3 linked regions of the Macaca mulatta genome follow. The protein of the gene in region 1 interacts with the protein of each later gene in a pairwise test. Links are inferred from orthologs where the notes say so. Each region holds a gene or a part of one and is shown on either strand. Other genes may lie near its edges.

What was found.
Region 2: the proteins of AP2B1 (region 1) and CLTC interact in a two-hybrid assay, tested with the Homo sapiens proteins (2 studies listed by BioGRID, with this or other methods). The link is inferred for Macaca mulatta from reciprocal best matches to the Homo sapiens genes AP2B1 and CLTC.
Region 3: the proteins of AP2B1 (region 1) and AP1M2 interact in binary tests that used the Homo sapiens proteins (3 or more experiments, as listed by UniProt). The two-hybrid records come from large-scale screens. The link is inferred for Macaca mulatta from reciprocal best matches to the Homo sapiens genes AP2B1 and AP1M2.

Annotation. Positions count from the first base shown.
Region 1 is NC_133421.1:45,075,639-45,081,009, forward strand, and holds part of AP2B1 (AP-2 complex subunit beta), read left to right. Parts: intron 1-2,657; coding exon 2,658-2,793; intron 2,794-5,073; coding exon 5,074-5,319; intron 5,320-5,371. UniProt on the Homo sapiens protein: Component of the adaptor protein complex 2 (AP-2). Adaptor protein complexes function in protein transport via transport vesicles in different membrane traffic pathways.
Region 2 is NC_133421.1:50,304,456-50,309,826, forward strand, and holds part of CLTC (clathrin heavy chain 1), read right to left. Parts: coding exon 5,216-5,371; intron 2,685-5,215; coding exon 2,562-2,684; intron 1,179-2,561; coding exon 1,033-1,178; intron 798-1,032; coding exon 614-797; intron 417-613; coding exon 224-416; intron 1-223. UniProt on the Homo sapiens protein: Clathrin is the major protein of the polyhedral coat of coated pits and vesicles. Two different adapter protein complexes link the clathrin lattice either to the plasma membrane or to the trans-Golgi network.
Region 3 is NC_133424.1:11,301,979-11,307,349, reverse strand, and holds part of AP1M2 (AP-1 complex subunit mu-2), read left to right. Parts: intron 1-1,608; coding exon 1,609-1,765; intron 1,766-2,006; coding exon 2,007-2,074; intron 2,075-4,456; coding exon 4,457-4,587; intron 4,588-4,694; coding exon 4,695-4,842; intron 4,843-4,876; coding exon 4,877-5,063; intron 5,064-5,371. UniProt on the Homo sapiens protein: Subunit of clathrin-associated adaptor protein complex 1 that plays a role in protein sorting in the trans-Golgi network (TGN) and endosomes.

The DNA of each region.
Region 1 (5,371 bases):
AGGACAGAAGTTACTGGTTCAGTGGAGATATGGTGGATTCTTTGACCTGAGTCCAGCTTCCTTTCTGTGAATAATTTCTACTTCTGTACCCTTTTGTGTGTATAGGATGTATACCATGTGACCAGCTATTCCATTCCCTTTTTTCCCCTTACTTTCCTTGTGGAAATATACCTACATTTGTTTTTCCTTTCTTCTGTGCTAGTAGCAAGATGTTTAGCAGTATTAAAAAATTATAAGGTACTTTGATAAAGCATTGTGGGGAAGATTAATTGCTAACTTCCCGTAAAGTTATATTTATCCTATATTTTAAAGATACAGCTTACACTTTAGAATCTGACAAGCTCAACCCTTCCAAGCTAATGGTGCTCCTTTAAATTTATTTCCTGTGGCTTATAGGAGAATGGTAAATCATGAAATAACTAGAACTTGGGAAAGGTGTAAACTCCTTTTATATTTGATTACTCTCAAATATTCTTTTGTCTGAATATGTAATGTTAAAAAAAATAATTTCACTAAAAGAGAATCAGGACATCTTGGAGGATGACTGATTCTAGGTCTGGGATTAGAAATGTACAAAATGAGCCTGGATGGAGCATCTTGTCATAAAGGAAAGTATGGAAAATACCAGGTCATACCACAAGGATTCAGGAGCTAAGTTCCCACTGGTCAAGAATGGAAGAATATGAACATTAAAAAGTGTAACTGAAGTACTTTGAAACAGTACTAGATTGATATGAAGAATTATTATTCATTTTGCCCTCTTGCACTCCTGAAAGCAAGATGATTCATCAGCAGCTCTACTAGAGCCACCCACGAAAAGTCAGCCAGGGTTCTTGCTGTTGTCGTGTCTGCTGAAACTGGGCACAGTCTGATCTGGAAATTCAGCCTCGTTATATGCCACCAGTGTTTCCATCAGTACGTGAAGGATATAGATTTCATTAAGTTGGACTAAGTGATCTTCCATAAATGGATTATCTAAGGCACCCACCCAATGAGAGAAACCATGTTACCTTTTTGTACATAAAATAAATATTTTAAAATAATTATTGTTATTATTTATTTATTTATTTATTTTTTGAGATGGGGTCTTGCTCTGTTCCTCAGGCTGGAGTGCAGTGGCATGATCATGGCTCACTGCAGCCTCTGCATCCCAGGCTCAAGTGATCCTCCCACTTCAGCTTCCTGAGTAGCTGGGACCACAGGCGCACACCACCATGCCTGGCTAATTTTTAAAATTATTTATACAGACAAGGTCTCACTGTGTTGCCCAGGCTGATCTCACACTCCTAGGCTCAAGCAGTCCTACCACCACGGCCTCCCAAAGTGCTTGGATTAAAGATGTGAGCCACTGGGCCTGGCTTTTTTGTTTTTGTTTTTGTTTTTGTTTTGGATGTGATAAAGGTAGTGGAAAAAAAAAAAAGACACTTGGCTGGGCATGGTGGCTCACATCTGTAATCACAGCACTTTGGGAGGCCGAGGTGGATGGATCACCTGAGGTCAGGAGTTTGGGACTAGCCTGGCTAACGTGGTGAAAACCGCTCTCTACTAAAAATATAAAAATTAGCTGGGCGTGGTGGCGCACACCTGTAATCTCAGCTACTCAGGAGGCTGATGAATTAGAATTGCTTGAACCTGGGAGGCGGAGGTTGAAGCAAGCAAAGATCGTGCCACTGTACTCCAGCCTATGTGACAGAGTGAGACTCTGTCTCAAAAAGAATAAAAAAAGGATTCTTAAGATATACATTAAAATATTATAGATGAAGCTGGGCACAGTGGCTTATGCATGTAATCCCAGCACTGAGATTAACATTTTTCATAATAAAAAACTTATTCTAAAACTATATAGAGACCTTGTTGAGAACAGCACTACAATTTTTTTCCTATTTTTTTTTGGCTAGGGACAAGGTCTCACTCTGTCATCCAGGCTGGAGTGCAGTTATGTGATCATGGCGCACTGCCGTCTCGACCTTCTGGGCTCAAGTGATCTACCTGCTTCAGCGTCCTGAGTAGCTAAGACTGCAGGTGTGCACCACCATACCCAGATTTAAAAAAAAAAAAATTGTGGAGACAGGATCTCGCCATGTTGTCCAGGCTGGCCTTGAACACCTGGTCTCAAGTGATCCTTACAGCCTCCCAAAGTGCTGAGATTACAGACGTGAGCCACCATGCCTGGCCTATAGTTTCTTTTCTTTTCTTTTCTGTTTTTTTTTTTTTGAGATGCAGGAGTCTCGCTCTTGTTGCCCAGGATGGCGTGCAATGGCGCGATCTCAGCTCACTACAACCTCTGCCTTCCAGGTTCAAGCGATTCTCCTGTCTCAGCTTCCTGAGTAGCTGGGATTACAGGCATGCAGCATCATGCCTGGCTAATTTTTTGTATCTTTAGTAGAGATGGGGTTTCTCCATGTTGGTCAGGCTGGTCTCAAACTCCCGACCTCAGGTGATCCACCTGCCTTGGCCTCCCAAAGTGCTGAGATTATAAGTGTGAGCCCCCGTGCCCAGCCAGTTTCTTGAGTAATTCATTTCTGTGACAGTTACCACTGTGGGGACATTTGTTCTTGCATCAATCACTCTGTTAGTTAAGGCTATTCATATTCTGTCCAACAGGTTGGCACCAACACCTGCTTACTTTCCTTTTCTCTTTTGCCCTCTCTTCTCAGTTCTCTCTTTCCAGACGTAGTGAACTGTATGCAGACTGACAATCTGGAACTAAAGAAGCTTGTGTATCTCTACTTGATGAACTATGCCAAGAGTCAGCCAGACATGGCCATCATGGCCGTGAACAGCTTTGTGAAGGTAACTTTTCCCAAGGCCTCAAGAACAGAGTCTGAATTGCAAATAAGTAACCTTTGTTCACAAGGAAGGAGTGTAGGGAAGTGTTGGCAATGACTAGGAATGTTCATGTTTTTAGCATTCTGTATACCAGTGTGTGTCATCCAGGGAAATTCAAACCATGTGCTGAGCTTTCTGTTAGCGGGACTTGGTGCATCCTTGACAGATGGGTAGAAGAAAACCTGGTGAAACCTCACTGTTTTACCTTCTAAGGCTGACAAAGGTTGGGCATATCATTGTAGTATCAGTAACTGGCGGCTTTACCTGTTTTATCTTTGTAGAAATTATGCTTATGAGTCAGCAGTAGTGGAGACTGTAGGAGTTTCTACTTTTGTTTCATTTAATAGGTCTTACACCATTTGATTTTTTTTTTTTCTTTTGATACGGAGTCTCACTGTGTCACTGAGGCTGGAGTGCAGTGGCACGATATTGGCTCACTGCAACCTCTGCCTTCCAGGTTCAAGTGATTCTCCTGCCTCAGTCTCCCAAGTAGCTGGGATTACAGGTGACCGTCACCATGCTCAGCTTATTTTTGTATTTTTAGTAGAGACAGGGTTTTACCACGTTGGTCAGGCTAATTTCGAACTCTTAACTTCAAGTGATCCACCCACCTCGGCCTCGCAAAGTGCGGGGGTTACAGACACGAGCCACCACTCCCGGCCTGATTTATTTTTTTTAATGGAAAATTTTAAACATATTCAAGAAAAAGGACTAGTATAATAAATTCATAAATGTTCATCTTGCAGTTTTAACAGTTACCGACACGTAACCACTCTTGTTTATAATCCTCATACATATTTTCTGACCTCCAACCCTCTCTCCTGCTGGATAATTTTAAAGCAAATCCTAAGCATCATATATTAAATAGTTTTGTCCTTATATTTGTCAAGATAAGATATTCTTTTTAAACATAACCACAATATCATCATGTCTTTAAAAATGGACAAAACATTTTCTTATTATTGAATATCCAGTCAAATCTTTCCTATCATAGATTTAAAGAAAATGATAATGGGATCGTTCCCATTAATTTTTATTTATTTTTATTTTTTTTGTGACAGAATTTCGTTCTTGTTGCCCAGGCTGGAGTGCAATGGCACGATCTCAGCTCACCGCAACCTCTGCCTCCCAGGCTCAAGTGATTCTCCTGCCTCATCCTCCCGAGTAGCTGGGATTACAGGCGTGCGCCACCACACCTGGCTAATTTTGTATTTTTAGTAGAGATGGGGTTTCACCGTATTGGCCAGGCTGGTCTTGAATTCCTGACCTCAGGTGATCCACCCACCTTAGCCTCTCAAAGTGCTGGGATTACAGGCGTGAGCCTCTGTCCCCAGCCTAATGTTTTTTTAATAGTTGTTTTTTCTGTTTGGAACTTAGTGTACATTTAAAAAAATCAGACAGCATTTCTAAAATTAGCTTCTATTTAAAATGTTTTGAAAAATGTGCAATATGCCTTCTTCTTTCTCATGGACTTTTTGTTCTTTTCCTGTGTTTAGCTACGTTGTAGAGTTAGAACATAACAGTTTGTTCTCTGTGATTGGTGGTTCACAGGTGGAATATATCATTGAGAATAATTTAGTTTACATTTTTTGGAAGTTAGAGTTGTGCATGGATTTATATGGGCTTAAAGACATTTTTTAATGTAGGGCAGTTTAAAAGAGTGTTCTTTCTCCATATTCTATTTACTGTATTTGGAAGCGCTTGCTAGTAAAAGAGAATGTATGTCAGTCAAGAACTCAGAGGGCCCTCTCTGCTGCGTAACTCCAGGTACTTATTTCAAGCCCAGACTGGCTCCTGTGCTCCCCTTTGTTTTCTTGGCTGCAGGCCCCAGAAATCTAGCTCACTTTTCTCTCTATTTGATGCTTGGGAACTCACTGTGGAATAGGGCACGGTCTTTCTTTTTTTTCTGTGCCGGAATACAAGCCCAAAAGCTTTTCCTGTTTTTAGGGCAGATCCTAATGACTGTGGGATGGTACCAATTCCCTAAGCCTCTGCCTGGCACTGGAATGAATCCTACTGAGCTGTTTCTCATTTTGTATTTAAAACAGTTAAATGACTTCCTCACCTAAACTCTTAAATAGGGCAGCTAAGATTTGTACCAATAGTGTGGAAGATTGGAGCTCGTGTAGAATGTATGTGGAAGCTTAAATTAATGAGGTAATTCTTTTGCAGCTTATGTAAACTGGACTGTTTACTTTTAGCCACCATGTATACTTAACAGTTGTTGGTGATTGTTTTCTGCAGGACTGTGAAGATCCTAATCCTTTGATTCGAGCCTTGGCAGTCAGAACCATGGGGTGCATCCGGGTAGACAAAATTACAGAGTATCTCTGTGAGCCACTCCGCAAGTGCTTGAAGGATGAGGATCCCTATGTTCGGAAAACAGCAGCAGTCTGCGTGGCAAAACTCCATGATATCAATGCCCAAATGGTGGAAGATCAGGGATTTCTGGATTCTCTACGGGATCTCATAGCAGATTCAAATCCAATGGTAATAAGCTTCTGCTTTTATAAAGAGGGCAATATTTAAAATGAGTCCCTTG
Region 2 (5,371 bases), about 5.2 Mb from region 1:
GAGACTTCAAAAACAGAAAATTTATCTTCCCCACTTGTAAGTTTTGTGAACTTACAAATTCACAAAATACAGCCTCTTTTTATCTGGACTAAGATGGAGTACTAAAAGTTTTCACAGGAAACCATGCAGTATCCAACTCTTCTACAATTCAGAACAGACAGATATCTTAATGCTTAGCTTAATCATTTTGTGAGGTCTCAATACATAAGGTAAGAAGTCATACCACTAGTATTGGCAGCCTGAACAACTTCCATGTAGGAGGAAGGATCGTCTGCTTTGATATAAGAATCAATGGCTTCTTTCACCATTCCTTTCTGCAACTGGGCTTTTGCAAGTTGACTCCAGACCGCAGGTTCATTGCAACGTTCAGCAAACTCATATGCCCGATCCAAGTTTCCAATATGTTCAATTAAGACCTAAGTACCCAAGTTTGAAATTGGGGTTAGAGTAAAATCAATCCTACCCAGAGCAATTACATTTAAGCTGTTAGTATTTTATTGCTCTTCTATTGCCATAGGAACAAATTAGGCCCACCCTCACAGGACAGTGCATACACTGAATGAGTAGAAGACATTACATTTAGTAATTCAACTTAGGTAATCTAAAGATTTACCTGAACTGCTGAAGTATTGACATCAAATTTCCGGAAAATGGCAAATGCTTCTTCAAACAGCTCATTGCTGATGGCGATATTGGCAATATCTGGGGCATCATAATTATCCAAGCGGTTAATATACTCCATAACACGTGTACGGTCAGCTTTAATTGCGGTGAGGATAAGGAGGTTTTGCAGATTCCTTTAAGAAACAAAAGAATATTTTAAATGCAATATTTTAAGTTTATCAGACATAAAAAAAAACCACTGTGACTAATAGAGAGGTTTTTGTCTCAAGAGATAGAGTGAAGGAGGGGGGATATTAGAAGAGTGAGAATTCAGGCAACTTTCTCTGATCTTTTTGTTCCTTCCCAAAACTGATGGGCCATTATTAAAGACTGACAATAAACAGCCAATGGATCCCTCTGAAAGCATACCTGTGTTCACTGAATACAGAGTTATCAAGGACAATTTTCTCCAGCAGTTCAATCAGTTCATTAGGAAGGTCTGCAGTCATGAAAGCCTTGACAGTTACTGACACTTCTTCAGGGTCCTGAGTCTCAGACAAAGCTGTTTGTACAACCTACAGAGGATATATGGGACATAAGTATTGAGAATCAAGTTGGTTTTAAATAAGGATAAGTTGGCCTCTCATTAGAAAACTTGAAATAGGCAGAAAAGAATGAAGTAGGAAAAAGACCTTTAAATTTACACACAGAGGTCTTTCTACACAAATCTATACAATATGTGTAATTCTACTCTCTTGAAAAATTACTCTAATTATATAATTTCTATCTTTTCCCTGATTAAAACATTATCCAGACTAGCAATCATCATTATCACTTTGGTGGCTACACATAATTCAAAATTCAACTACACAGATGTGGAACTATAGTATCAGTAATTCTTCTAGTTTTGCCTATTTGCATGGCTTTCTAGATGCTGCAATGATTTCCAACCACCCCCTCTCCACATCCTTCCCCTAGGAAGCTTTGTAACTAGTTGGAATGTTCCTTAGAAATGCTTCCTAGGAAAGGAATGAAATATTAATAGCCTTCAACCTATTTGTTTCCAAAATGTTTTATTTATACTTATTTCAGGAGAATATTAAGACTCATTATTAACAACCCTTCAATTTTTAGAGCTTTTAAAATATGTTGTCTATTTTATTTAGGTATAAAAGCCCATCTCATGTGCAGTTCTATACTTCTTGTTAGTAAGATATAACAGATGCACTTGGTCTTTTGTATTTTCTCTTATCCTTATCTTTTGCTGACTTATTGTCTTGAAGTTTCCAATCAATTTAGCCACTTCTTAGGCGTTAATAGCAATCCTTACTGTTTAGTTTGTTATTTTCCTTTTAAACTATGATGAACCGAGAGAGTTTTATGTAATTAAGTCATGTCTTTTAGGATGTGTTTTCGTTTTTTTTGATACAGTCTCGCTTGTCACCCAGGCTGGAGTGCAATGGCGTGATCTCAGCTCACTGCAACCTCCGCCTCCCAGGTTCAAGCGATTTTCCTGCCTCAGCCTCCTGAGTAGCTGGGATTACAGGTGCGTGCCACCATGCCTGGCTAATTTTTATATTTTTAGTAGAGACGGGGTTTCACCACGTTGGCCAGACTGGTCTCGAACTCCCGACCTCAGGCAATCCGCCCACCTCGGCCTCCCAAAGTGCTGGGATTACAGGCGTGACTGCACGCAGCTTATTTTTCTTAATGTATGTTATATACATATTTATACTTATATAAATTTACATTAATTTATATATAACGTAATCAATTTACATTCATTATATACAAATGAATGTAAATTGAATGTATATAAATTTTAATTTCCTTCTACTTTGTATTGCTTTCTCTCCTAGTTAAATATGATCCATTTGAGTATATGATGAGGGGATTGTATCCACAGTTAAAAATGTATAATTTTTACTGACAGTCATAAATATGTTTGCCAATGTTACCTGGTCAATTAGGGGTCTCCTGTAAGGATTGCTTTCCAGCAGCACGCTGCCCCACAATTCTGGATCCTTTCGACGTACCAGGTAGCGAGAAAGACTTTTGAAGAGGGAATTCTCATTGCAAACCTAAAGAAGATATGACAGATCAATTTCAAGGTAAAAAGTAAAAGACTTTTTATAGCATTTTAGAGGTTATTTCCTATTGTTTAAACTCTGTTTATTGATAATCTTACTGATATTGGACCTACTTTTGGACTTTGATTCACGTACCAGTAATATACTGTTTTAATTATACAGGCTTTGTAATATACAATTTAACATCTGGTAGGACTAGTCCACTTTTACATTTTTCAGTGTTTTACTAGCTGTTCTTGTGTGTTTATTTTTCCATGTGTATATGCACATGTATGTACATAAGTGAGCATATGTATGTACATAAATATAACTATTTCCTAGCTCTGACCACTGAAAGATCTTAGAAGCAAATATACCTAAGCTCAGATCTTGACTTCTAGTATTTTCAGAAAATAGGAGTCTTGCTCTGTTGTCCAGGCTGGAGAGTGCAGTGTTGCGATCGTAATTCACTGCAACCTTGACCTCCTGGGCTCAAGTGATCCTCCTATCTCAGCCTTCTGGGTAGCTTCGAACCAAGTGCATGGTACCTCCCCCAGCTAATTATGTAATTTTTTGTAGAGACGGGCTCGCTATGTTGCCCAGGCTGGTTTCAACTCCTGGGCTCAAGTGATCCTCCTGCCTCAGCCTCCCAAAGTGCTGGGATTCTAGGAGTGAGCCACTCACCTGGCCCAGATCTTGATTTCTAATACCATGCCCCAGTAAAAGGTTCCCTAGAGAAATGACTGACTCCAGGGCTGCAGAAGGTACAAAATGAGCTTGGTGTATTGTGTGCCAGAAAATAAGTTAAAATGCTCAAAGAACAATGAGCCCATGACACAAAGACACAGACTGAAGATGTTCTCACCAGCTGGGACAATTTGAGCATCAAAATAAAAAGTAATGGATTGCACCCCATCGAATAAAATCCAAGAGTTCATGAATGCATGAGTGTTAACTGACAAATGTGGAGAAACTGCTAGAATTTGAAAATTTTTCATTTTGCAACCAACACATTAAGAATGTTTTAAGCAAGAATCAACATGCTGGGCCGGGCGCGGTGGCTCACGCCTGTAATCCCAGCACTTTGGGAGGCCGAGACGGGCGGATCACAAGGTCAGGAGATCGAGACCATCCTGGCTAACACGGTGAAACCCCGTCTCTACTAAAAGTACAAAAAAAACCTAGCCGGGCAAGGTGGCGGGCGCCTGTAGTCCCAGCTACTCGGGAGGCTGAGGTTGGAGAATGGCATAAACCCAGGAGGCGGAGCTTGTAGTGAGCCGAGTTCGCGCCACTGCACCCCAACCTGGGTGACAGAGCAAAGACTCCGTCTCAAAAAAAAAAAAAAAAAAGAATCAACATGCTAAATTAAGGGAGGGGGTAAGAGGATATTTGCATGGTCTTAAGTGTCTACTTACAGACTGTTTAATATCTGCAAGAGGGTAATAATAATTATATAATAAAGAAATGTTACAACTTGATAAAAACTGACAAAGGGGACAAATGAACACTGCGTGTTTCTGGATATAATACCATGAGAAAAAAACAAACCACCACTGAAGCAGTATTCTGGGTGGAAATGTATAATCTAAATCTAACCTTCAGGAACCATCAGAGGAATCAAAATGAGACACATTCTATTTTTTAAAAAGAGACTTTACATTTAAATGAAATATAGAGAATAGGCGAATCCATAGAGACAGAGTACAGTCTGGTGGTTGTCAGGGGCTGGGAGGAGGGGGTATGTGGAGGAACTGTTTAAGGAATACAGGATTTCCTTTTGAAGTGATGAAAAATTGGAACTAGATAAAGGTGATTATATAACATTGTAAATGTACTGAATGTCACTGAATTGTTCACTTTAAAATGGTTAATTTGATGTTGCTTTAAATTTCACCTATATAAAATAGTACAAATAGAAAAAGCAACTATCTGTTTACAAAAATATCAGTGTCATAAAAAACAAAAGACTGAAGAACCATTCCAGAGTACAGGAGACTAAAGAGACATGAAAACTACATGTCATATATAACCTTAGACTAGAGGGGAAAAAACTGCTACAAAGGACATCATTGGTTAATTGACACAACTAGAATAGAACAGATTTTTAAAGGTATCCTGTCAATGTCAAACTGACTGAAGCTGGTACATTTCATGTGGTTAATGAAATAGAATATCCCTATTCTTAGGCCATACACTCTGAAGGGGTATAAGGCCATGATGCATTCAACTTATTCCCACGTGGTTAAAAAATAATAGATGTGTGTAACATATACGTATCAATGGTGTGCCTGCGTGTAAGAGTGTGAGAACACAAATGGTAAGGCTAATGGGGTTAAAACATTAACAAGTCAATCAGAATAAAGGGTATATAGACTTTATCCACTATTTGGGCACTTTCAGATTCACAATTATTAGCAAATAAAGTTTTTAAAAAGCACCCACTGTCCCCAAATGTCCCATATTACCTAAAATCACCCTGAACCTCTCATATAACAGGTTTTAAAAAATGCAGCTTTTTTACATATTCAGCTGGCAGTACTCACATTAATAAGTTCCAGATCACACTGGCCACGTTCATAAGCAACACAGGCCAGATGTGGATCTCTCTTCTCACAATACTTTCCAACAACGCGACTGTCATAGTAGGGATTTTCACGAAGAAATCTCTCCGGGTTGTTATTACTGTCTATGTAGATTTT
Region 3 (5,371 bases), on another chromosome or scaffold:
CCTGAGCCTCCCGAGTAGCTGGGATTACAGGCATGTGCCACAACACCCAGCTAATCTTTATATTTTTAGTAGAGACGGTGTTTCACCATGTTAGCCAGGATGGTCTTGATCTCTTGACCTCATGATCTGCCCGCCTCAGCCTCCTAAAGTGCTGGGATTAAAGGTGTGAGCCACCACGCCCAGCCAGAAGTGTTCACTATTATGGATGGCTTCCTGACTACCAGGCACAATCATATGAACAATCATTTTTCTTTTTCCTTTTTTTATCCTTCTTCCTTTCCTTCCTTTCCTTTCTTTTTCTTTTCTTTCGTTCTTTTCTTTCTTTCTTTCTCTCCCCTTCCTTCCTACCTTCCTTCCTACCTTCCTTCCCTCCCTCCCTCCCTCCTTCCTTCCTCCCTTCCCTCCTTCCTTCCTTCCTCCCTTCCCTCCTTCCTTCCTTCCTCCTTCCTTCCTTCCTTCCTTCCTTCCTTCCTTCCTTCCTTCCTTCCTTCTTTTCTTCAGGGTCTCACTCTGTTGCCCAGGCTGGAGTGCAGTAGTATAATCACAGCTCACTGCAGCCTCAACCTCCTAGGTTCAATCGATCCTCCTGCCTCAGACTCCAGAGTAGCTGTGACTACACAGGTGCAGGCCACCATGCTCAGCTAATTCTTGAAATTTTTTGTAGAGGAATCCCGCTATGTTGCCAAAACCGGTCTCAAACTCCTGGCCTCAAGCGATTCTCCTGCCTCGGTCTCCCGAAGCAGTGGGATTACATGAGTGAGTCATTGCACCTGAACTTTTCTTTCTTTGTCTTTTTCTTTTTTTAAATAATCCCACTTTGGTGCAAATGAAGTCTGGGGCAGCAGCAGGGATTCTGGACCCAGGATGACTTAGATCAATCGCCAGTTTCCATATGCTTCCAACGGACATGGTTTCTAACCTCACTTCTCCTATGTGAAATTGAGATGATGATAACATCTACCCCACAGGGTTGTGGCAAGAACTAATAAGTTAGCAAACATCTACTCTTGTTTTAGTTGCCTGCCTTCCTGCCTGCCTGCCTGCCTGCCTTCCTTCCCTCTCTCCCTCCCTTTCTCTCTTTCTTTCTCTTTCTTCTTTTGAGACGGAGTCTTGCTCTGTCGCCAGGCTGGAGTGCAGTGCCGCGATCTCAACTCACTGCAACCTCCGCCTCCCAGGTTCAAGTGACCCTCCTGCCTCAGCCTCCCGAGTAGCTGGGACTATAGGTGCGCATCACCACATCCAACTAATTTTTTGTATTTTTAGTAAAGACGGGGTTTCACCATGTTGGCCAGGATGGTCTCGATCTCTTGACCTTATGATCCACCCGCCTCATCCTCCCAAAATGCTGGGATTACAGGCATTAGCCACTGTGTCCAGCTGTCGCCTACTCTTTACTAAAACACAGCCTGGTGCTTAGTGAGGGTCCTAGACCCATTTAGCTGTTATCATCACACTCCCATTTTATAGAGCGGGAAACAGGCACAAGGCGGCAGAGCCTTGCCCGAGCCCCTCAGCTAGGAAGTAGGGTCAGAACCGGGCACTGTGCCCCCACAGCGTGGTAGGTTCCTGGATGCTGGTGGTGACCAGGTCCTTTCCTCCCACCCTCAGCCGTTGATCAGCCGCAATTACAAGGGCGATGTGGCCATGAGCAAGATTGAGCACTTCATGCCTCTGCTGGTACAGAGGGAGGAGGAAGGCGCCCTGGCCCCGCTGCTGAGCCACGGCGAAGTCCACTTCCTATGGATCAAACACAGCAACCTCTACTGTATCCACCCCACGTGGTGTCCCTGGGGGTGGGTGTGGGGGGTATTGGCGATGGTGGCACCTCAGGCCGAGAGAGGGTGGGCTGAGGACAGGCGTTGCCCAGCACATCTCTGTGGCTCAGGCTAGCGGGCAGGGGCAGGTAGAGATGAGGGCGGTGGCAAGGGACAGGGTGGAGGTTCAGGGTCTGTATTCCATTTACTCCTCCATAAATGACACCTTTTCCTTAACCTTGCTGCCCCCAGTGGTGGCCACCACATCGAAGAACGCCAATGCCTCCCTGGTGTACTCCTTCCTGTATAAGACAATAGAGGTAGGTACTAGCGTCCCATTGGCTGACTGGTCTATCTGTCTACCCCTCTTGCCAGCCTCTTTCAAAATCCTTTTCTGATAGGAAGCCTTCCCAGATCTCTCTGGGCCTTCTTTTTTTTTTTTTTCTGGTAGAGACGGGGTCTTGCTATATTGCCCAGGCTGGTCTAGAACTTCTAGATTGAAGCAATCCTCCTGCCTCGGCCTCCCAAAGTGTGGGAGCCACCACACTCAGCCCTTCCCTGGGGCCTTGTTCGTGTCCCTGTGCATCCACCATCAAAGCCCCATCACTCTGCATCTCATCAGCTACTTATGAAGTCATCTCTCCCTAAAGGGCAGGGACCAAGAATGTCTCAGAGAGTGTACGGCTCAGCTAAGCTGGAAGACTTGGCATCCAGTCCCAGGTTCCCTGCTTCCTCGCTGTGTGACCTTGAGCAAGTGACTTCTTGTCTCTGTGCTTTAAAAAAAAAAAAAAGAAAAAAAGGCCACGCACAGTGGCTTATGCCTGTAATCCCAGCATTTTGGGAGGCCAAGGCGGGCGGATCACTTGAGGCCATGAGTTCGAGACCAGCTTGGGCAACATGGTGAAACCCATTCTCTACTAAAAATACAAAAATTAGCCGGGTGTGGTGGCAACTGCCTGTAATCCCAGCTACTCTGGAGGCTAAGGCAGTAGAATCGCTTAAACTTGGAGGGCAGAGGTTGCAGTGAGCCAAGATCACACCACTGCACTCCAGCCTGGGTGAGAGTGAGACTCCATCTCAAAAAAAAAAAAAAGTCTGGAAGCCCTTCCCCTCCCCTCCCTTCCCTTCTTCTTCTTCTTCTTCTTTTTTTGATATAGCGTTTTGCTCTTGTTACCCAAGGTAGAGTACAATGGTGTGATCTCTGCTCACCACAACCTCTGCCTCCCAGGTTCAGGTGATTCTCCTGCCTCAGCCTTCCTGAGCAGCTGGGATTACAGGCATGCACCACCATGCCCGGCTAATTTTTTTGTATTTTTAGTGGAGATAGGGTTTCTCCATGTCGGTGAGGCTGGTCTTGAACTCCTGACCTCAGGTGATCCACCCCCCTCAGCCTCCCAAAGTGCTGGGATTACAGGCATGAGCCACCCCACCTGGACCTTTCCCTTCTTTTGAGACAGAGTTTCGCTTTTGTTGCTCAGGCTGCAATGGCACAATCTCAGCTCACCTCAACCTCTGGGTTCTCAGCCTCAGCCTCCTGGGTTCAAGGGATTCTCCTGAATCAGCCTCCTGAGTACCTGGGATTACAGGCATGTGCCACCACACCCAGCTAATTTTCTGTATTTGGCCAGGCTGGTCTCAAACTCCTGACCTCAGTGATCCACCCACCTCAGCCGCCTAAAGTGCTGTGAGTACAGATATAAGCCACCATCCCTGGCTTGTTTCTTTCTTTTCTTTTTTTTTGAGACACCATGCCCCACTAATTAAAAAAATTTTTTTTAGTAGAGGCTGGGCACGGTGGCTCACGCCTGTAATCAAAGCACTTTTGGAGGCTGAAGCGGGTGGATCACTTGAGGTCAGGAGTTTGAGACCAGCCTGGCCAACATGGAGAAACCCTGTCTCTACTAAAAATACAAAAATTAGCCGGGCATGGTGTCGTGCACCTGTAATCCCAGCTACTGGGGAAGCTGAAGCAGTAGAATCACCTGAACCTGGAAGGCGGAGGTTGTGGTGAGCCGAGATCTCGCCACTTGCACTCCAGCCTGGGCAACACTGTGAGACTTAGTCTCAAAAAAAAAGCCACCACACCTGGCCTTTTTTGCCTACTTTTTCAAGCATTCAGCACACTTTCTTTTCTTTTCTTTTCTTTTTTTGAGATAGGGTCTCACTTTGTTGCCCAGGCTGGAGTATAGTGGCACAATCTCAGCTCACTGTAACCTCTACCTCCTGGGTTCAAGCAATTCTCCTGCTTCAGCCTCCCTAGTTGCTGCAGTTACAGGCAGGTGCCACCATGCCTGACTAATTTTTGTATTTTTAGTAGAGACGGGCTTTCACCATGTTGGCCAGGCTGGTCTCAAACTCCTGACCTCAAGTGATCTGCCTGCCTCGGCCTCCCATTATTGGGATTACAGGCATGAGCCACCATGCCTGGCCTTTTTTGTTTTTGAGACAGGATCTTATTCTGTTGCCCAGGCTGGAGTGCCTCCTCCAGTGGCATCCTCATGGCCCACTGAGGCCTCGACCTCCTAATAAAATTTTTGTTGTTGTTAGAGATAGGGGCTCACTGTGTTGCCCAGGCTGGTCTGGAACTCACCTCAAGTGATCCTTGTGCCTTGGCTTCCCAAGGTGCTGGGGTTACAGGCATGAGCTACTGTGCCCAGCCCTTAGCCACACTTTTGTGGGTGTCTCTCTCCCCTGACCCCCAGGTATTCTGTGAATACTTCAAGGAGCTGGAGGAGGAGAGCATCCGGGACAACTTTGTCATCGTCTATGAGTTGCTGGATGAGCTCATGGACTTTGGCTTCCCGCAGACCACCGACAGCAAGATCCTGCAGGAGTGAGTGGACCCCTGGGGGCAGGCTGGACTGTGGGTGTAAGTAACTGGAGGAGGTCCACAGAGGTGTCCCTGTGTCCAGCTGCCTGTCCCTACCGCCCTCACTCCAGGTACATCACTCAGCAGAGCAACAAGCTGGAGACAGGCAAGTCACGGGTGCCACCCACTGTCACTAACGCTGTGTCCTGGCGCTCTGAGGGTATCAAGTATAAGAAGAACGAGGTCTTCATTGATGTCATAGAGTCTGTCAACCTGCTGGTAAGCCCGCATACCTCCCCCGCACCCCTTCCAGGGCCTGGCTGCGGGAGAGGGAGCTGGATGCCTGCTGACCACCCCCCACATCCATCCTCAGGTCAACGCCAACGGCAGCGTCCTGCTGAGCGAGATCGTTGGTACCATCAAGCTCAAGGTTTTTCTGTCGGGAATGCCAGAGCTGCGGCTGGGCCTCAATGACCGCGTGCTCTTCGAGCTCACTGGCCGTAAGTATTTAGGGGACCTTTCTTCTGAGAAGTGCACAGGGGAGTCGCAAACCTGGCCCACGTGGGGACTTAGAGAATCGCCGCCGGTTTTGAAATAAGTGCTCCCACGCCATCTGCTGGTCACGGCCAGTATTGCAGCCAGTGGTTGACTGTTTCAAAGGCTATTTCATGATTGAGCGACTGTTGGGTGCCAGGTGCAGTTTTAGGCTCTGAGGACACAGCAGTGAAGAAAAAGACAAACCCTCGTTCTTACAGAGATGATATCCCACTGGGAGGAGGAGACATTATAACATCTTTCTTTTTTTTTT